Caenorhabditis elegans: one gene and its partner. The protein of the gene in region 2 interacts with the protein of the main gene of each other region in a pairwise test. Each region holds a gene or a part of one and is shown on either strand. Other genes may lie near its edges.

Region 1 (11,254 bases), on a different chromosome or scaffold from region 2:
TTCCAATTATCACCAGTGATAAATCGCCGCAAAAGACCAATTGAAATGGCCTGATATCGTGCATTACATGATTATTTCATACAGTTATCATCTTGTGCTGTAGCCCATTCGTGAAAGCATTGAGTGCACTTTTCAGAATCTTGTTGTAGTTCTACTGAAAATTGGTTTTAATCCTATAGGATAAAATTTTCGTTTGTGATGGGAAGGCAGTATTGAGAAATTGTGGTTTTCGTTTGAAAACGTACTATGCTAAAGTTCTCTTCAAATGACGATTAGTTCAAGGTCTTGCTTAGTTTCCCATTCTTTCTTGAGATACTATCAAATAGTAACTATCTACGACTTTCTTACTTATCCTTTTTTTCTAGAACGCATCCGTATTTTCTCAGTTACTCTTGCACCAAATAACTTATATGACTGCAGATATCAGAAAATATTTAATATGTTATAAAAACTACAAAAAAAAAATTTTGTTTTGAGAAAACAACAGAATTTTCAAAGTTGAATAATAGAGCAAATACCTAAATGCTAAATTTCGCTGTTTAAAAATTACGGTACCCGGTCTCGAAACGGCCAATAATTTTCAGTGAAAGGAGAGGAGTGCGGTTTTAAGGAGTACCGTTGTTCAATTTTTCTTAGTTTTCACACTCACTGTTTATTAAAAATTGAAGCTTAAAAAACAGGAAACGATAAAAAACTAAGAAATCAGCAAACTGCTGAAACTACTGTACTCTTTAAAGGCGTACACTTGTTTTTGTTGACATATTTTTAATCGTGTCAGGTACCGTACAACATGGCACTGGCATCTCCATATAAACATCACTGCATAAGACAAACAAAGAGAAGTTCCACGTTGAACTATTTGGCAAATTTTTGGCAAAACATTATTGTTGTTGCCCCGATAACAACCCAACCAAATCGTTCACAGGTCATCATGCACCAAAATATTGTTAATACTCATTTGTTATCAAATTAAAAGACTTCCCCACTCACTTTTTCTGCTTCAAATACCGCTATTTTCAAAAAATGTTTCGATTTATCTTTTTTGTCTTTTGTAAGAATCCGATTTCTATGAAGGAATCGGCGCCCCGCTGAGAATGTGTATTGCTTCATGTATGCAAAAGTGCACTGAGTGCCACGACGAACGCTTTAGTGAGAGAACGAGAGACCCAGCATGCTATGTTCCTTCTATATAAATATTGAACAAAACAAGTGGTTTTATGCCAGAAGCACGTTTGTTTCTCATTTTCTTGTCATTTTTGCTTAGATTAAGAACATTTAGCGGACATTGATAGTTCTATGACTTCTCTTTTTTCCAATTTACCAACCGTTTGCCACCTTAACGCTCCGCCCTTTTCTCTGATTGTATAAAAGAATCGGACTTAATACGAGCAAATTTCAGTCGGTGAATCTCATCAAACAACGGATTCGTGGTTCCCGACAGAGAATAACTACGGTTAAAACGAACCAAGGAAAATGACGAATACTGGAGAAACTAAAGTTATTGAATCTCATGGAACCATTAAGAAGATCGATTCTCTGTCCACAATGCCATATTGGTAGGTTCTTTATATTAATCTTCTAAACTTAGAGCATCTTTTTATGTCTCAAAATGCTTTTAAAAAAAGCACTGAAATATGCCTCCTTTCTACCAATTCTACCTACTTGACCTCTATCTTATCAGAAGACATGTCTACCACCCATTTGTCCCACTGCGATCACAAACTGATCTCTTATCAGTGTCAACTGTTGGATACCATTGATATTCACGTGATTTGGGCATTTTTATATTGTTGAGAGTGAAAACCTTTCAAAAAAAAAATACAATTTCTGTTCAATTTCAAGAACTTGAAATTTTCAAAAAAAAAGCACGCTGATTATGGCTAAAGTTAGAATGTTTAGTTAAAAAAAAAGAAACATATGAGAAAATGCAGAAAATGACCTGAAAGTTGCCAATTACCGAAAAACAAAGCTTGATAATTCGACAATCGGCAATTTGCAACTTCCAAGTAATTTTTAAGCACTTTTTCAAAATTATCATCCGAAGTAAACTATATTTACAGCTAAATCGATTGATTTCCTATATTTTAAAACTAATTTTTAACGAAAAATGTCGGAGAAACATGGTGCATTTATATACTAGAATTGTCCAAAATATTTGCAAGTTGCAACCTTTTGAATCACAAATAGTATTTTTTTCAAAAATGAGCTAATTGACTTTTAGAAACATAGTAATTACTTATCGTTGCTAATGATTTCATCTCTTATCACCCCACAATATCTTATCAATGAAGGTGAACACGGCAGAGTACAAAACGTGTCTATTATCAGAAAAAAGTTTGTTAGTCCTCTGCGACACATTATTCTCTCTGCACTCGGAAAAGATCGAATACTGATCTATCAAATTTAAATCTAACCGTGTTTTCTTGCCTTCTAGGAGACAATTTGATCAGTATCTCTCTATTAAGTGGAACAAAAGACACCAAGCAAGAAATTTCCAAGGAAAAATACAGGGAAATAATTTATTCGATCCGAAATTTCAAACAAGAAAAAGCTAATATATCATTGATGATAGTGAATTATTATTTCGATGTAGCACTGTATTAGTTCAACATCAGCTTTTTGTTTTCCGAAGTTCTGAAAAATTTGAAAAAAAGTACTTTCCTACTGTGTCAGTATCAAAGAACAAGTTGTCCAAATCATAATTGTTACGTTCCTAGATCTCTCCCGAGATTCATATCGAATCACATGATGATTCTGGAGAAGATATATAACACTCCGCCCTTAGAATCCTGTTTGCCACATTTCTTCATTTGTCGCTAACAAATTTTGTTTCCTCGGAGACTCTAGTTGAAATGGCCGTTTTAAGTAAAAAGTGGGTTGTTGATTCAGGTTTTTTGATCGAATAATATAATATTTTGAATTTCAGTGGTGTTGAGACCGATGAGAATGCGGTTGTCGAGGAGAAGATAACTCTGGAATCTGGAAAGAGCTGGTCACCAAAGTAAGTTTTGATCAGATATAAAGCTATTACTAAACAAATTTATATTTCAGGCATTATGAACTTCTTCACGAGAGAATTGAACGTCTTATCGATGAGAAACAACAATTCTTCTCTCTTGAATTCTTCCCACCTCGATTTGTCAATGGAGTTCCAAACTTCTTAGAGCGTGTTGAACGTCTTTCCGAAGGTGGATCCGTCTTTGTCGATATGACATGGCATATGGGAAGTGATCCAGCTAACGTCGATAAAGTGACTTCATCGTCTTCGATTGCTGCTTCAATGCTTGATTATTGTGGAGTCGACACTATGTTGCATATGACTTGTGTTCAATACAATAAAGCTGATACTTTGAAACATCTCGAGCAAGCCAAGGCAATGGGATTGAGAAGTATTCTTGCTTTGAGAGGAGATCTCCCACCGGGCGTAAGTTAATCATGAAACAAGATTGTCAAAAAATTAAATAATATTTTTCAATTTTAGACTGAGCTCGAAGATACCCATCAATTCCGTGCACTTGATATGATCCGCTGGATCCGCGAAGAATATGGAAACTACTTCTCAATTGGTTGCGCAGGATATCCTCTTGGACATCCACAAGCTCCGTCTTACAAAGCTGATCTTATGTACTTGAAGGCAAAATGTGATGCTGGAGCAAACTTCGTCATTACTCAATTATTCTTTGAGGCTGAAACTTTCGAAAAGTTTGTGCGCGACTGCCGTGAAATTGGAATCACTCAGCCAATTATTCCGGGAATCATGCCAATTATGGGTTATGAGTCTATCAAACGTATTGCCAAACTCTCACAACTTGAGATTCCACAACATATTCTTGATGATCTCGAACCAATCAAGCACGATGATGATGCTGTTCAAAAGTACGGAACAGAGCGTTGCATTGAAATGTGCCGCCGTCTTCTTGACAATGGAACTGCCCCTTCCATCCATCTATACACTATGAATCGTGAAGGAAGTATTCGTGAAATTCTCAAATCTCTTGGTCTCTGGAAACTCGAGGGTGATCGTGTTTTCCCATGGAAAAATCGTTCGCAACATCCTATCAGATGTCTGGAAAGTGTTCGTCCAATTTACTGGAGTTTCCGCCCACGCAGTTACATCACCAGAACTCGTGATTGGGATCAATTCCCTAACGGAAGATGGGGAAACAGTTCATCGCCAGCATTTGGAGATGTCAGCAGCTACTACTTGTCTAATTTGACGGTTCGTTCAAAGATTGTGTTAGAACTTTCTCACAGATAAAATTTCAGACTGTTCGAAACGCCGATGACCGTCTAGCTATGTTCGGAGCCAACATCGAGAGTTTTGAAGACGTCAAGCGCGTGTTCATCAACTACATTACTCAAGCTCCAAACGCCGATGGCGTCAAGGTTACTGTACTTCCATGGACAGAAGCTGAAACTGGTGTTCAGCCAGAAACTTCATTGATCAGTGAACAACTTGTTTGGTGTAATGAGAATGGAATTCTGACCGTCAACAGTCAGCCATCAGTTAATGGAGCTCCATCCACTGATCCACTTGTTGGGTGGGGAAAACCAGGAGGTTACTGCTACCAAAAGGCATACCTCGAATGCTTCATGACCGCGGAGTTGTCCGACAAGCTCATTCAAATCATCGAGAGAGAATTCCCAGTCAGAGTTAACTACCATGCCATCAATAAGGATGTATGTTTAAAAAGTAATTTTAAAAACCATAAAATAAATTCTTCTTCAGAGTACCTTCGACAAGACCAACAGCGAAGAAACCACTCCGATTGCAGTTACTTGGGGAGTATTCCCAGGATCTGAGATTGCCCAGCCAACAGTCGTCGATCCACTCTCTTTCCGCGCATGGAGAGATGAAGCTTACCAAATGTGGATGGCCCAATGGTAAGGTATCTAATCACTCGTTCTGTCTAATTGTTTAATTTTAGGGGAGATTTTTATCCAAAAGAATCTAAATCATATGGAGTCATCAAGGCTGTTCATGATGAGTTCCGTTTGGTTACTCTCGTCGACAACGACTTCCAGAAGCCATCAGTTCTTTTCGACGTACTTCAAAAGGCCCTCGACGAGCTGAAAAAGTAAAAATCATCAAACTAATTTGACTTTTTGACACGTCTGATTTCAATTCATTCAATTTTCCACCACGATATTCACTTCCGTTGATGAAATACACCATTGGTTGGGACACTTCCCCTTATTCTCTATTACCAGTATTACCCTATTAAGTTTTAGCTTCAACAACCCCCGATTCAAAATCGCTCCCTCTTTTATTTTATTTATTTCCGGCTTCCTTGTTTAATAAAATATCAATAATCAAGAAATCTTCATCTAGTTGAATAAATGCTAAAGTTCAAGTATTAGACGGACTCAGTGGGATGATCATCAGACGGATTATCAAGTACAACACGCGAAAGCTCTGTCTCATTCTTCTCTTCTTTTGGTGGACGGAGCATCGAATGCTGAAATTAAAAAACAAATTGAAGATTAATTTAATTAAGTTTTAAATTACCTCACGGCACTGAGTTCCATCAAGACGAGTAATTTGTTGCAAGAGATGAATAACCTTTCCACGATAAGTATCCACTGATGCAATTGGATTGAAATCGAGGTAAACACTATTGAGTTGTGGAAGTTCAACCAATTCATCCATAATGCTCCAGTTATCCAACTAAAATTAACAAAGAATTGATTAGTTATGGAATGTAATCAAATGATCTATATTACCTTATTTCCTCTTGCCCAAAAGTCTGTAAGTGTCTTCAATTGATGGATATTCTCGACCTTCTCAAGACGATTCTGATTGAAATCCAGAATTTCAAGAGGAAGATGCTCATCGATTCCACAAACGTACTTGATGCCATTTTGAGCCAGATAAATCTCTTTCAAGTTGTGAAGTCCCGAAATGTTCTGAAATTTTGTTTTATAAGTGGTATTTAGAAAGAAGAAATAACTATACATCAACTACAGTAATCGCATTGGCTGGAAGACTGAGAACTGTGAGCTTCTTCAAATGATCAACATTTTCAATAAGACGAATCTGATTAGCGCCAAGGAACAATCTATCGAGTTTCAGATTGTTGTCGAGATTCTCGATTTTCGCAATTCTATTGTCACCCAATTCGAGATATTCCAGCTCAGTCAACGTATCCAAACCCTCGATTTTAGTGATTTTGTTATGAACAAAAAAGAGAGTCTTCAGTTTTGTCAACTTCTCCAAATTTTCAATTTTGGTGATACGATTGAATGACAGGTCGAGTGACTCCAAATTGACGAGGCTATCCAAGTTTTCAACTTTTGTAATTTGATTATCGTAAAACTCGAGATGAGTCAACGTTGTCAAACAATCCAGATTTTCAATCTTTTTGATCAGATTCCAACGAAACGAGAAGTGTTCGACGTGAGTGAGCCACGAATAATCACCGATTTCTTTGATACGGTGACGCGTCAAGTCAACGTTTTTGGCATCGGCCGGAATCTGTAATATGAGGTTCTCGGGAAGAACGAAAATAACAAAGGTTTACCTCAACATATTCGATATCTTCAGGTTCCACAACAATCTTTTCGAATTCTTTAACACCATCCTCTGAAGTGACACTGGTGACGTTCATAGCTAGAACCTTCCAACGATCTCGTAGAACAAGGGAATGATTAGCGAAGAGTTGTTAATTTGGAAAAAGAGGAAGAAACACGTTATGATGAAATTTACACAAACGAAGAGGTTACGTGAAATAAAATTTCAATATATCAATTAAATAGTTCTGTACGTTTTTACAGATTACTTTGTAGACAGTTCTTCTACATATCTAAATGAATTAGGCTTTACAGAGCAGTTTGATTGAACTCTAGATATACATCTTATACTGATTAGATATACTGATTAAAATATCATATTCGGTACCATCCGGTGCCTTTCGAGTCTACTTCCAACTGGCTGAAGTTCAAATTCGACCATCCCTGCGAAACTTACTCCTAAAATATAATTTTTTAAAGATCCAACTGCACATGAAGGATACTGTAACAGTAGACAATTTTAATAACTAGATATCAGAGTACACCTAGAAAATTTTTAAACATCACCAACCGTTTCCATATACTTGCTGTTTTTTCCTTGTTTCTACGACTTTTGTTTTAAATATTGAATAATTCACATCTTCTATTGCCACTTATCCTTTTTTTCTTCAAAAACTCAATATTCAACACTTTACATGCCTCTTCCATTTTCAATAATCTCTACAACTTCCCAAGATGTTTTGGAAGATGCTGACTCGGATGAAGAAGCTGAAACATTTTATGTCAATTGGATAACTGAAAAGTTCTTGCTTTTTAAATTCGAAAGTTTTATTATAAAAATATTTCAGAAACCATTCGTTTCCACAATCAATGGTATTAGAGCTCGAAGAAGAAAGTCTCGTCAGCAGTGTTAAGCTAATTGTTCATAAAGATTATCCACGTAGTTTTAGAATCGAATCTACGTTCATTCAATAAAATAATTTCAGCATCATCCTTGACAGTTTCACTTGGAATTCCATCAAATCATTTTCGAAACTCTCGTGGAAAATCTTACAATGCCGATTATTCAGTTCGTCAAGAGCTTTCATTCAGAGACGATTTTCATGTAGAATACGGTCAGAAGCATCCGAAGGCAACTGTTTTCTTCAATTCACCAGCTAAATTTGTGAGGTTTGTCTAAAAAAGAAGAAAGAGCTCACATTAAAAATCCGCAAGTATAACTTTTTATACATTGAACAGAATCTCTGAAAGCATCATCATCATTTCAAATATATCTGCACAAAATTGTTGTCAAATCGTCAATTCAAAAGCAAATAATGGGTTCCACCACTAGGCTTCCACTCTTTTTGAAAACGGCTGTTGGCACCCAAATGTCCACGTCGTTTTCTTTTTCTGTTTACTTACATCTTTTCTCGTCATTTTTTTTTCGTTCGATTTTACTAAGAGTAAGTGTCGGTAGGTACTAGGAAACGGAGAAATAGAACATAGACAAAAAACAAGTCGTGGTTTGTGTTCATGTGCCAAAACTGTTTGGTTCGGACGGTCGAGCACAATAAACAATAGTTTGTAGTCAAGACTACACGTCTACAAGAGGCGTGTATCTATGAGAATTGTCATTATGGATGGAAGATTCTAGAAGATACTATTACTATATACATTCAAAGTTTATTGGCTTTTGTATCATTATATCCTTTTTGCACGAAAATGTAAAATATATTTTAAAGTTCGGTTGCCATTGAGAAATGCTCACTATTGGTAACACGTAAAACAAAAATTGAGACATTACCCGTCTTGCCAAATCTTTTTTATTCAACCCATAAATGCCACAGATCTGTGTCAAAAGCATGCTGTTTCCCATATTTTTCATTTTTCAGACGTAACAATTATTTCTTTCAGCCAATTTTCTTCGATTCGCTCATTTTTTTGTTTTCTTTCCCTTCTCGTTCTTTTTCGAAGAAAATTGAAGCATATTTTTTGACTTATATTATCAACCTTCAAACATCGAAGATATCTAGTTTAATGCATCTTTTAAAAAACATTTTATCCAAAATTACAGCTCATTATGAACTTGTTCAAAATTTCGTAAATTAAATACACTTTATGTTGAACCCTTTCTCAAAAATTATTACACGATGAAATGAGCAAGTCTAGCAGTTTTTTTTTCTGAAATCCGCTAAAACGAGCTCAATGCACATGACTTCAATGTCAAAAAAGACTCTCGTTTTCAATACACTCTGCTTCTCTTATTCCAATTTTCCATGAATTTCAATTTGACCCCCACTTCCGCTCGATTATACCTTTTCCGTTTTATATTAGATTGCATTTTTGTGAGTGGGAATTTTTTTCCAAAAACCGTGTTGCTTACAAATAGCTTTCAATTTTCGTTGGAAATTTTTTAACTGCTCTGAGGTAGTTTTTCAACTTTAACTATTTATAACAACGCGAATAGTAATTTATAGGATTACTGAATAAACGAATTCTTCTGATATATTTTTTCTCGGAATTTGGAGGAACTTCTTGGCATAAACATATTTGAAAGAACTTAATAAATTGGCAAGTTGTTGCCAGAATGTTGCCTTCGAATTCCAATGCAAAATGAGAACTTCATTTGTACTTTTTTTTCGAAATCTACAATGATTATGTATTCATAAAATTTCAGAATATCAGTGCACGGATTCTCAGATTCAGACGTCAATCATCATCGTCAAGTCTCCATTCTTTCTGTTATTATCAGTGGAGCAGGTCAGTTTATACTATTTGTTTCATTTAAAATATATAGCCAATTCGATAGTCATTGACTTTGCATAATGAAATTTTTAAAATAAAAAAACTCCATTGTTCATGAGAAATTTGAAGTCAAAGTTCGGTATCATCACATAAAGCCCCGGAATATTTGTTTCTCTTTTCACCTTTTTTGTTATTTTTTTGCCATCAAAACATTCAAAAATCCATCATCCAATGTCAATTTTTTCCCGTTTTCTTTCATTTTTTTACTCTGTAAAAGCAAAAATTGTTTCTAAAATGGAGTCGGAGAACAGGAAATTCATTGGAGTTTTTGAGCTTTTGGACCATTTGAAAGAATCTGAAAACGAAAGAAGAAAAAGTAAGATTTTGAAAAGTTTTCTTAAGAAAGAAATTCTTTTAAAGAGAAAGAATTTAAAAATTAAAGTATGCAGTTTTCTTTAAAATTTATTTCACCTATTAAACTAATTAGTTTCAACTCTCAATTTCACTACCAAATGACCTTTCTTTCCGTTAATTGCAGGTGAAATACTACCATTTGACAGTCATTTGAAGGACGAACCAAAACAGACAGAGATGAGTTACATCGAACTCGACAAGGGAATTCTGCTGCCGTTGAAGTCAAAACCGGTCAGTTTTCCATATATTTCAATAGTTTATTCTTTTATTTTGTTGTAAAAAGTTACCAGTCTCCTCAGACTTGTACACCTATCGAGTTGGAAATTTCTTGTTTGCATGTTCCAATTTTGTTGAAAGCTGTGCGTGTTTTTGACATTTGTATTCTAAAAAACTATTCAATTTAATATAAAAGACTCGAGCCCTATTGTCGATCAAATTTTCAATTAAACCCACAATGAAGTCTGTGAGCAATTGTGTTGTAACACAAAAAATTTGAGAAATTCTCATTCAATGAAGAATTTTTTTAATTTTAAAATCGCATCTATTTTTTGCTCTATTCTTTTCTTGAAGTTTTCTAGTTTTTTCCGTAAAAATTTCCGGCCATTAAAGTGTGCAAACCAAGAAGCTTTGAATTTTGGCCCATTGCTCACCTATTACTTTTTTCATCGTGCTCCATATACATATATTGCCTATAATTTCTTACGTTTTGCATTGTTACCTCAAAAAAAGGTTGAGAAACTGTGATAAATTGGAGAATAATTTTTTAACAACTAATTTCTCATTAAGTGGGCCTGTGAGTTGTTTCTTTTCTACTAACGAATCCAATCATATTACACATGAAAACATATAACAAAAACAAAAAAGGGAAAAGGGAAAACCTAGAGATGCAGGTGTTCCTTGTACAAGCTTTTGCTCAGTATTCCCACTTTCACCAAATATATAATATATATTTGGTTAGTCACCGAAAGAGAGACACCTTCTCTGACGCCATACACTCACGTAAACACTACTTCTATTTCTCTCTCCCCCCTGTTTTCCCCCGCAATTTATATAAAATCGCCATAAGTGTACTTGTGGTAGGTTTCTTCCAACAAAAGGATTACAAGGTCTCTTAGAGTCCGATATTTTTCCATTGATTTTTTTTTCAGAAATGTATTTTATAAGCCTTCAAATTCAGATTTAAAAGATTGTTTCGTATATATTTATACATATCATTTGAGATTATCCATAATTACGGAAATATTCATCCCTTCATAACTTTGATATATACTTTTTAGACTAGGATTTGTTTTTCAGAACAGATGATAGATAATAGAAATAAATAGAGATTGGCAGTTCAATTGTTTGCTCTTTTCTCATCTTATTTGCTATTCAGTCAGTTGAACTGCTGCCTTCTACTCAACTTTCGAGAAAATATATGAAAATAGTTATTTCGTGGTTTCACTGTATGAATTTCGAAGTTTATTTCATAATTTTTATGAATTTTTCCAAAGATTTATTTTTATAAGATGATAAAAATGTTTAACTAAAATCTAAGAAGTTTTAATTTTGATCATTTGAATATTGCTCACTTCGAAAGTTTTTTTTAGCAACTGCAACCATG
Region 2 (11,254 bases):
CCATTTTTATTTTTTCAAGATGAAAAAGTAACACATTTTAAGATTTGTTCTGAAAAGACCGATGTCTGGGCTTACGGTGTTCTTTGCTGGGAGATCTTCAATAATGCAGCCGAACCATATCCGGGAATGAAGCCTGCCGACGTCGCTACACAAGTTGCAAATGGATACCGTATGCCACCGTACCCACATGCTCAGGCTGAGATTCAAACAATGATGGCGGTAAGAAATAAAAGTTAGAAATACAATGAACCAATGATTTCCTTTAAAGAGATGCAATGCTGAAAATCCGAATGATCGTCCATCAATGGCTGAAATTGCTGAAATCCTACAACGTGTCACTGAAACTCCTCGCCCCAATTTTACAGCCATAGCGAAGAAAGAGGCAGAGGAGGTTGTTTCGAAAATCTTATTAATTCTAATATATACTTTTATTTCAGCTTCTCCTAATGAACTCTGTAACTACGAAAACAACTGCTCGTCGCAAGAAGTCTAATGTGAAGCTTCCAAAGGGAATGTCGAAGAACTAAATGATTGAATAAATTCTTGTATTTGGCTCTTTTTTGTTTTTTATCATTTACAGTAAAACCTGAGCAAGTGCCACATTTGGCTGGAAATTTAAAAATTTTGAAATATTTTACTATGACAGTTGAACATTTTAGATTAATTTTAGGACTAAATAAGTTCTTTGAATTTGACAATTTTATGAAAATTTAAAAAAAGCTTATTGTCTTGACTTTTGAATGTTTTTTTAAACTCGTTTATTTTGTCAGCTGAGCTTTATTTTTTAAAGTCGATTGACGGCGAGAATAGGTTTTAAAAAATTTAAAAATCTCACAGTCCATCGACTTTAAAATACCTAAACGAAGTTGAAAACGCAAGATGATTACATTGTATACTCAAAAATTGACTGCGATTTCAAAAAAATAAATTTTTGAGGCGTCATAACTTTTTTCTCTCCGAATCTTTTCTCCGCTTGCCTCGAACACGTTTTCCGAAAGCTTTCCTGGATTGAATTGAAAGGAGAAGCTGAGGATTACGATACGATCCCTGGAATGAGAGTGAATGGCAGAAATCTAACGAACCTTAGATTTGATGACGATATTGTGCTCATCGCCAATCATCCGAATACTGCCAGCAAAATGCTCCAAGAACTCGTACAAAAATGCTCTGAAGTAGGTCTCGAGATCAATACTGGGAAGACGAAAGTCTTGCGAAACCGATTCGCTGACCCCAGTAAAGTCTACTTCGGTAGCCCTTCCCCCAACACCCAGCTCGACGACGTCGACGAGTACATCTACCTCGGTCGTCAAATCAACGCCCAAAACAACTTGATGCCGGAAATCCACAGAAGACGTAGAGCAGCCTGGGCTGCATTCAATGGAATCAAGAACACCACCGACTCCATCACCGACAAGAAGATTCGTGCGACTCTGTTCGACTCAATTGTCCTTCCAGCGCTCACCTACGGTTCAGAAGCCTGGACATTCACCAAAGCTCTATCCGAACGAGTACGAATCACACATGCCTCCCTAGAAAGACGGCTTGTTGGGATAACACTCACCCAACAACGAGAGCGAGATCTCCATCGAGAAGACATTCGTACGATGTCTCTAGTCAGGGATCCGCTCAATTTCGTGAAAAAGAGGAAGCTAGGATGGGCTGGACACGTTGCGAGAAGGAAAGACGGAAGATGGACCACGTTGATGACAGAATGGCGCCCATATGGATGGAAAAGGCCTGTTGGAAGGCCGCCGATGCGATGGGCTGATTCGCTGCGAAAGGAGATCACCACTCGTGACGCAGACGGAGAAGTCATCACCCCCTGGTCCACTATAGCCAAGGACCGAAAAGAATGGTTTGCTGTGATCCGCAGGAATACCACGAATTCCTGAAGAACGGATCGTCTAAGTATCCTAAGTAAGTATGAAAATTTAAAAAAAACCTTATTGTCTTGACTTTTGAATGTTTTTTTAAACTCGTTTATTTTGTCAGCTGAGCTTTATTTTTTAAAGTCGATTGACGGCGAGAATAGGTTTTAAAAAATTTAAAAATCTCACAGTCAATCGACTTTAAAATACCTAAACGAAGTTGAAAACGCAAGATAATTACATTGTATACTCAAAAATTGACTGCGATTTCAAAAAAATAAATTTTTGAGGCGTCATAACTTTTTTTTAGAAGTTTTCAAGAAGTTTCATTATTAAATTCGGTGTTTTCAGACACTTTTGAGTCTAATAAACCAATAAAAAAATTCGACTACACCACCTATGTATTTATTAAGTTCATTTCAGCTGAACCAAACATCTTGAAAATGTATATTTATTTTGACATTAGGTAGCAAACTTCAGTGATTTTTATCCAAAAGGAAGAAAAATGGTTACGTATTCCGTGAGAAACAAGAAAAAACAAAAGGATCAACTTTGCAGAATACCCATAAATTGCAATTTTGGAAGGGGCGCAGACGCAACATATTTAAAATAATTTTTACATTAGGAAATATTTTCGTTCAAGATAATCAAGATTTAAGCAGTGAAAGTGAAGGATTTGTGCACAACGAGCCGAACATACAATTGTGTTATGAATAGTGACTCACATTTAGTCTAATAACCAGATTTGCAAAAATGCTTATTTAAACAAAGTTTTAGAAAAGGAATATTTTATGCTTGATTAATTTGTATTCGGTTTTTTTTTCAAATATTATTTTGTTCTTTGTTCTTTCAAAAGTTTAGTTTCACTGGTTATATTCTCTTCAAAAATCATCGAAACAACATCTTCATGGAATGGAAATTTAATTAATTTTTAAAATGGCGGGGTATAATACACAAGTAAATACCAAATAATTTTTAGACACATTTCTGTTCAGCAGAGCATTTGTTCAGCAGGACATTCATAACTTCTTGATTATTTAAATAAATTATTTATTTTGAAGTATTATTCACAAAATATAGCAATGAATAATTGTTTCTCCCCCAATAATGGAAAGACGGTGTGGGAAGTTTTTTTTTTTTAGAATTAGCAATGTTTTGTCAAAATCAACAGCTGCATGAAGAAGGAAGAGGTTAACATTAAAAAGAACAACTACAAATCGTCTTGCCAGAGTATGGAATTTTAATTGTGTGCATATTTTTTAACTGCCACTATTATACAGACTCTTGCACTTCCATGAAAAGTATCTGGAAACGATCACACAACAAGAAACAACTATAAGATACTATTCAAAACCTTTATTTCAAAAAATCCAAGTTCAATCTCCTTTTGAATACTTCTCTTGCTTATTTCTCTTCAGTAGTTTCATTACTTTCTTTGCTCCAGCTCCAACGGATAACATATCAGAAGGAGGACGTTCTAGAGCCGACTTGATCTTTTCGAACTCTGCAATTGCCGACGTCATTGTAGCACGACGCGATCCTTCGACAAAAATCGAAGCTTCCATGTACTTCTTGATAGACTCAGGGGTGGTTGGAGGCATCTGCAGGAACTTGTTCGCAAGAATATCGGTCTTCACCACGGAATTTTGAATTCCAAAGAAGGGTTCTACACCATCAGCAAACACTTCGTAGCAAGTGACTCCCCAACTGAAATTTCAAGTTTTTTAGAATGAAGTACTGATACTATAAGTTACCTGTACGTATCAGTGGCAAAGGAGAACGAGAGTGTTGACAAAGTCTCCGGAGCAAGCCATTTGACTGGAAGCTTGCAAGCAGTCTTCATTTTGTAGACTGGTCCAGTTCGGGAGAGACCAAAGTCGGTAATCTTGACTTCTTTTTCGTGGAGAAGACAGTTTCGAGCAGCGATGTCACTGAAATACAATCATTTATCAATTTATACGGAATCAAACAACAAACCGATGAATACAATTGTTTTGATGCAAATACTCGATACCTCTACCTGCACCAGAACAAAACTTGATTTTCTCCACAATTGAAACAGCTCCTTTCTCCTTCTTCATATGATCTTGCAAAGATCCACCTTTCACCAATTCCAGCAGAATGTAGAGCGGCTGTTCGTGATGCGCAACTCCATACAAACGAACGACATTTTTGTGATTGAAGTTTCGAATAAATCTCGCTTCATTCATCATTTCCTTGATCTTCATTTTGCTGAGGAATGCCGACACTTTTGTCATTTTAATCGCAACATCAACATTCGTTCCATCTTTAAGCTTCAAAGTTCCAGAGCAAACTTTTCCGAATGCTCCTTCTCCGAGAACTTTTCCAACTGTTACGTCCGAATGCATAAATTCCCATGATTGCTGAAGAATTGGATGTTTTAATTGAAATGTTCCAGATGCACATCCTCCAGGGTTCTTTGTGTAGTAAGTGACAAGATCCGAAATTGACTCAAAGGTTCGAGTAATCTCACAGAAGAATAAGTTTGTTACACGTTTTATGACAACGTTGCGGACCTGAAATAGTGGCAATGTACATCGATATTTTATGATGACGCTTCCATGCCTACGCCTACCTACTACAGTCATTTGCGCGCGTTACCTCTTATAAAGTACTACATCGGCGCCCTCAGTCAGATCAGGTAGGAAATATAGGCAGCATTCAGGCCTGAATCAATCTCCTCACCTTCTTCCTATCCTCCTCGTCTTTTGATACCGTGGACACTGGAATGAGTGATAGAATCACTTCCCGATTGACTTTGTGCTCTCCTTCCACAACTTCAGAAACTCGAAGAAGGAAATCGCCTGGATTGTGCAAAGTTGTGTGAAGATCCTCTCGAGGCAAAAAGCCGTGGTAGAAATTGAACTCGCGAAGCTTTTTCTCCAAGATTGAAAAGTCTTCCTTTTCAGGGACAATTGATAGTTTCTCAACAGAAGCCGAAACAATGAGATTAGACTTTTTTTTCTTCTTCTTCTTTGGTTTCTCTTCGGGAGCTTTCAATTCTTGACTATTGTCCGTATTCTGCGTGGACTGAAAAAAAAACAGTTAATTCGTAATTCCAACAGTTACTTCGCAATGTGCGCACAATGGATCGAGAGCCGAACACAATGTGCATATTGCGGAAACGATCATCGCAAATTAACTGTGAAGTGGCTTTAAGCTCTTACCTCGACCTTTGCCTTCACTTTTCCCTCCACCTTCGCCTCTACCGACTTCTCAATTTCTTTCTTCTCTTCTACCTCCTTCTTGTCATCCTCTTTTTCTTGCTTTGCTGGCTCTTTGCTAAAAACCAAACTATCGAAATTCATTTATTTTCTGAAAATCTCAAACCTTGGAGAGGAAGCAGCATTCATCGCTGGAGCACTTTGAGTAGGAATGGAATTTGAAGATGAACTAGATGTACTGCTTCTGAAAAAGAAAGATTGAAATTTCAGCTGATACCCAAAACTAGACTCACTTTGAATTATTCGAATAGACCGATGACTGCATGTACACGGATCTTGTAAACAGCTCGTTTGATCCCATTTTGCAATGTTTTCCTTCTGAAAATCAAATGAATTAAGAAGCCTGAAAATTTGAAACTTGCGTACCTTTTGTGATAGAAATAATTTTCCAAATTTAATTGGAAAAGAAGTTGTGAGAACAATTCGAAATAATCAAAAATCGATTGATTTTATAGATTTTCGATGTTTGTTTTTTCCAAGTTGTTTTTTTGCGTTCTCATTTCGGGTTCACGTTTTTTTTTGTTTTTGGATTTTTAAAACCAAATGCTGATGTTTTTTATCACTTGGCTCAAAATGTCCTTATAAAAAATGTTACTTTAATCGTCAGGACTGCCACCTCCTTTTTTATTTAGAGTACACACAACCCCCTGAAGAATTACTGTAGTAATCACAAATCTACACAAAAAAATCTTAAAATTTGTCTCTCTTATTTGATTATATAAAGGACGAAGTTTGGGGTTTCATATGCAGTTTAATAAAAAAGTCTTAAATTAAATTCAGTTGGTAATTTCGGCGGTCGCCAAAATTATGACTAGTTCGTTCTTGTACTGATTGAGTAGTTTTCTTGGAGCTTTAATGTTTAACAGATCTCTACTAAAGTTGTAAACGTCAATTAGTAGATTTTAGTGATTAATAATAACGTAATAATGTAATAACTGGGAAGAAATAAACACAAAGTCATAATAGAAGCAGATTCTTTCATCCATATTCACAATACCCTGATTCACGAACTCGGAAATGTTCTATTGAAATAGAGAACTCAAAGTCTTGAGCATAATAATTTTTATGATATTAAATATAAAAATACAACAAATCGTTTTATTCGCTGTGTATTTTGAAACTGAAAATACTGGAATGCGACAATCAAACAAAAAAGCATTGGGATGTGTTCGGGGGTCGATGGGTGGAGAAGAATTCAAGAGAAATAAAAGACGAAAAAGAGAAGCAATTGTAAAATTAAATGAATATAATTTATTTGGTGACATTTTAGTTAAAAGCGCTTCGAGATCAAATCTTCGTTATTAGAAATATGAAACGAATATTTTTCAGGTCAAGAAATTTGATGAAACGAAAACTTGACGACTGGTGGGGATGGTTGAGAAGAAGGAATTAATTGTTCAGTGTTCAATAATTGTTGGATTACTGTAACATGAGAATGAGAGACTAGACGAGACGCAGAGAAAGAAAGGGCGCATGATGACGTGGATTTTGTTGAAGATGATGAAGAAGATGATGAAAGAGATGTCGGAATGCCGGATTCAAATGAGAAGTTGGTCGAGATACAAAAGTTCTGCATTTGGATCGACTCTTCGTTTTCCGAATCGAATGTATCCAGAGCGTGCCTTTGGTTGACGCTTCTCCGATGCGACTTGACGACGAGCACGGGAAGCTGGAAATGGATTATTAAGATAGTTTTTACTCTGATCAATCCACTTTGATTGACAGTTTTCGGTTTTATTTTGTTTCTCTTTGACGCTGGGAAAACTCAAACTACAGAATATTATTCTGTGAGATCGCCTAAAAACAACAAAATCAGTTGTTTGCCAGTTGCAAAACTTGTAACAAACAAATCTGTGTATTTTACCCAAAATAGCTCGGTTTTTTATAATGACTAAGCCAGCTTGTTAAAAATTTTTCGAAAAAAATCTGATGAAATTGGAAGTTATTTAGTAAAGGAGAACTAACGATATTATGAAGGCATACTCAAAATGTTTTCAAGTGAACGAATTTCGTAGTGAAAATTCTCATATGCCCAAAAAAACCAGTAAATTTTTCTCATGGTTAAAAAACGCAACTTTCAATATTTCAGATTCTTACATGATTTTACTTTGACTCATTTACCGAAAACTGAGTGTATACTAGAAATACAGTTAAAAAGCTTACCATCGCTGATAGGAACAGCAAAAACAGCGGCCAAGCAGAGAACAAAAAAGACGAAAACGATGGAGAGTTGCATCCTTTGCTGTATGAGTTGATTGCCTAGAAAAGTGTCCATGATTCGAGAATAAGAAAAGATTTAGGCGTATAATTAGTGAGATGGGTGAATTCATGGTAAGGTCATGAGAATGAGGAAAGAGGAAAGAAAATGAGAAAATGTTGAAACGAAAGTAGGTACTCTAGTCTCTGAAGAAATGTTAATAATATCAAAAATTCAGCGTGCTTCTTGGTGGTCTTCTTTCATCTTTCACTCCTTCTTCATCACATCATCTTCGGGTCTTTTTTGATCACGTACTTTTGATGACGTGGCAAATTGAATTGTTCTGGTAATGTCTAACAAGGAAAAGGAATAATTGAACACTTCTCTCTACTCATTTCAAAAACAAACTGACCTTTATTATCGGTCATAAACGTTAATTGGATAAGAAAAGTGGAAAAAGAGAAAGGTGAGAGTAAAAGTGAGATCTGAAGAGGAGGTTATCCATTTTGAATATAAATCTCAGATTTCGTTTGAAAGATGAATAATTTGGATACTGGAATTTTTAGGTAATGCACAGGTTTTGAGGGCTTGGATCATAGGTGCGCGACTATTTCCATTCGACAATCGAATTTTTGGCAATTTCGGCGATTTGGCGAATTTCCGGAAATCTGAATTGCCGAAAATATAAGTCTGATAATTTTTGCGTCAAAATATTATTTCAAACGAAGACTAATCTATTATTAAAGAACAAGGCTGATTTTTTTAAAATTTTCTAACTTTAGTTAGGTTTGAAAATTGCCGAAACAGTCCGGCACTCGGCAATTTCGGCAATTATCAAAAATGTTCGATTGCCGCAAATCCGGGCTTAAATGTGATCACGTCTCGTTTGAGGATGGGGCTCGCGCGTGTATTTGATTTGTGGATTCATTGGCACCTGTTGTCAAACGGTATCATATACTTTTGACCTCTAATTGCAAGCTAGCTTGAAGTCATGACAGTGGTCCTGGAGGAATTACAATTGACACCACTTTACATGTAAAATAAATCAAGACGTACTCTTGAATTCCAGAGGTCTCTAACACTAAAACAACTTGAAAACCCCGAATTGAGTGGCCAAGATCATAAAACTGGTGTACGTACCAACAACTACCATCTCATAAAAATGGAATGAAAAATAAAAAATTCGACTTCAATTCTTTGCAGAAGAACACGACGGGCGGAGCATCCTCCCCTGCTCGTTTACAAGCTCCACCCCCTTCGACCCGAATGCTCTGTGGATGAATGATGACGTGGCAAGGGTGGGAGAGATGTGATAACTGGGTCACATCAAACACAAGCCTAATGTGTTATTTCCGTATCAAAGATGGAAAGAAAAATAGATATTATGATGGAACGCAGAATAAGCAAAGAAAAATACGAGAAAGACTAAAATAAACATTTGAAATGAGAACAAATGAATGTAGGAAACAAAACGAATATGGCGGAACTGATCTCGAGATTTTCCGAGTTCAATTTCGTGATTCTTATCAGAGCTGTGCGGCTCTTCGAATCGGGGAAAATCGGAATTTAATTCGAGAAGTAGACACTTGTAAGAAGTTGTATATGATGAGTAGACGAGATAAAACACTAGTCATTAGCCGAGTAATTTTCAAAAAATTTCCCACGTTTTGGAGATGTTCACCCAGGTGCCGAATCGCGAAGCAACACTAGTTTTTTTCCAAAAGTTTTTGTCTTATGATTAGCATATTTTTCCGATTATTTATCCTATGCAATACAAAAAGATCCTTCTTCTCCAACGAAGAAAAATAATTTTTCTCTATATGCATATAAATTTAGCACAGCTCTGAAACCTACAGTAGAGGAGAAACTAAATAATCATAGGAATAATTCGATCTCCGAGCTCTTGAACTCAACACTAATTGAACATTTCTCAACGGTTCAAGTTGTTTTTTCGATTCGAACGTTGTTGTCATGCTTTTCCGCCCTCTATTCATATCCACTATAATTCGATTTTAGTCTGCTAACTGATGCTGACGTAAAGTTAAATAGGTATCATAGCTCAAGTTTGATGATAAATGATACGATACGTGTACGATAAATGATGATACGTGTGATTCAATGACGCCGAGTTCTCAGAATTCTCAGCATTTCCAGAATATGGGAACTGTCTCCATTCTGAGTTGTCACGTACGAAGAGCTTTCCAGAAATTTTATTGGCGATTGAGAGAAATTAGTTAGGCACAATTGGTCATACCAGATAACAAATGGTTTGATTATATGGGTGGAAACTGTAAACGAATAATAAATATTTAGTCGCTCACATAATTCTTTAGAAATATCTCTGAGTATTTTCAATCTAATTTTCTATACAGTACGGTGCAGAATGAGCTGTTCCATTTTTTCTTGAAAATAATTATTAGATTTTGGGATTATCAATCCAAAACTAACTTGAGAATCGAAAAATCAAACATTACATCCATAGAATGTTAGAAGCTCAATCATAAATGTGTTTAAAAAATACGTAATTTCTCGTGCATCTGATGTTTCAATTTCAAAATGTGACTTTGATTTTCATGAGTTGAAAATCAATTGTGATCTCCCCCACATTACTGGTTGATAACTTAAAACGTTTCCAGTTAAATAAAGATTACATTATATACTGCCTGCAAACGAACAGAAATTCGGAATGAATGTTATATATTTTCCATTTTCGTGATCATTGAAATTAGTGTTTAAATAAACTCTAGTTTATATACGGAGTGGTTTTTTTTTTTTTGAAAAATAGAGTCATCGAATCCCATGATCCAAAATTGATTCATATTACGAGTTTGATGTCTCATTTTTCTATCATTCTGACTGTTTTTGTTGTCATCGGACACCAACAATTTATAGTCAAAACCCATAATCTGACTCGTGTGAGTTATGAAAATTGAGTCAATAGAGAAATTAGAAATTATCACCAAACAATTTTTTCAGAAATTGTACTCTTTATCCGTACGTCACTTATTTTCAGACGCAACCAAAAATCTTTAATTTTACATTACAAATATGACAAATCTCTAGAACGGTTTAAATAACAAAATGTTGTTCAAGATGGGGCTAGGAAGATAAGTTGTGGAGTCGTACGGAAACCTGACAAGTAAGAAATATGTACTGTAAAATGCCACTGGAATTTGACTTAACATCGCTTGAGCTGTGAGTGACTTTACAATTTTTAAAACACTGCAAAACGATGAGACTAACTGATGCTCATTTTAAAAAAAGTGGAAAATAAGATAAATATTAATCCTTACTTCAGACTACATCAAAATCTTCAAGGGCTCATGAAACCTACGAACATTTATTTATAAACGGTCTACTGTAAACTATTCCGATATTGCCAAGTAAAAACTTTTTTTAATTTGGATCTTGTTAGAGTGGGATCCTTTGAGTTAAAAACTGAATCGACACTAAAACCGCTAAGGATTTAATGAGTCAAAATTAGGAGAACGTCTCTCTCTAGGAATAGTATAGTAATGTAGAAAATGAATAAATAAATGTTTTCACATACCTAATTGAAAAGCTTAAAGGGAACCGACAATGTTTGGCATCATCAAAAGTCAGCAAACATCGTTTTCCGTAAATGGCATTGGATAAATGTGGGTGGTGATTGGGCGAATATGAATGAGTAGTAAAACGGAAATGATTGAATTTTTGAACGGGAAAAATTAAAGTTAGATTTTCTTGGAAATCTAAAAAATAGTATGAGTAAAGATAAGAAAACGTTGAGAAACTTGGGATCAAGTTCCAAAAAAGTATAGTGGTCATGCTACTTCCTGCTTCAAACCCTATTTTGGAATTATTAAATCTTTTTTGGGTAAACTAATAATCGAGTACCTTCTTAGTTCTTTTACAAAATTACTAAAAAATCAGATGTATCAAAACTCTCTTTTTCATTGTTGTTC

What was found.
Region 1: the proteins of T06C10.3 (region 2) and C06A8.6 interact in a two-hybrid assay, tested with the Caenorhabditis elegans proteins (one large-scale study listed by BioGRID).

The regions. Positions count from the first base shown.
Region 1 is NC_003280.10:7,767,969-7,779,222, reverse strand, and holds C06A8.6 (U2A'/phosphoprotein 32 family A C-terminal domain-containing protein), read right to left. Parts: upstream 6,725-11,254; 5' UTR 6,609-6,724; coding exon 6,522-6,608; intron 6,476-6,521; coding exon 5,957-6,475; intron 5,908-5,956; coding exon 5,725-5,907; intron 5,669-5,724; coding exon 5,510-5,668; intron 5,460-5,509; coding exon 5,358-5,459; 3' UTR 5,309-5,357; downstream 1-5,308. Other genes in the region: mthf-1 (putative methylenetetrahydrofolate reductase (NADPH)), read left to right, coding at 1,474-1,556, 2,927-3,001, 3,052-3,424, 3,482-4,219, 4,267-4,680, 4,730-4,884, 4,929-5,082; cepr-104.2 (Centrosomal protein CEP104 N-terminal domain-containing protein), read left to right, coding at 7,206-7,312, 7,359-7,450, 7,497-7,680, 9,170-9,252, 9,776-9,882.
Region 2 is NC_003282.8:7,865,025-7,876,278, reverse strand, and holds T06C10.3 (Tyrosine-protein kinase), read right to left. Parts: upstream 5,529-11,254; 5' UTR 5,480-5,528; intron 5,432-5,479; 5' UTR 5,415-5,431; coding exon 5,347-5,414; intron 5,298-5,346; coding exon 5,220-5,297; intron 5,172-5,219; coding exon 5,057-5,171; intron 4,920-5,056; coding exon 4,575-4,919; intron 4,406-4,574; coding exon 3,846-4,405; intron 3,800-3,845; coding exon 3,623-3,799; intron 3,576-3,622; coding exon 3,245-3,575; 3' UTR 3,210-3,244; downstream 1-3,209. Other genes in the region: kin-26 (Tyrosine-protein kinase), read left to right, coding at 43-219, 269-391, 438-527; flp-10 (FMRF-Like Peptide), read right to left, coding at 6,652-6,782, 7,277-7,349.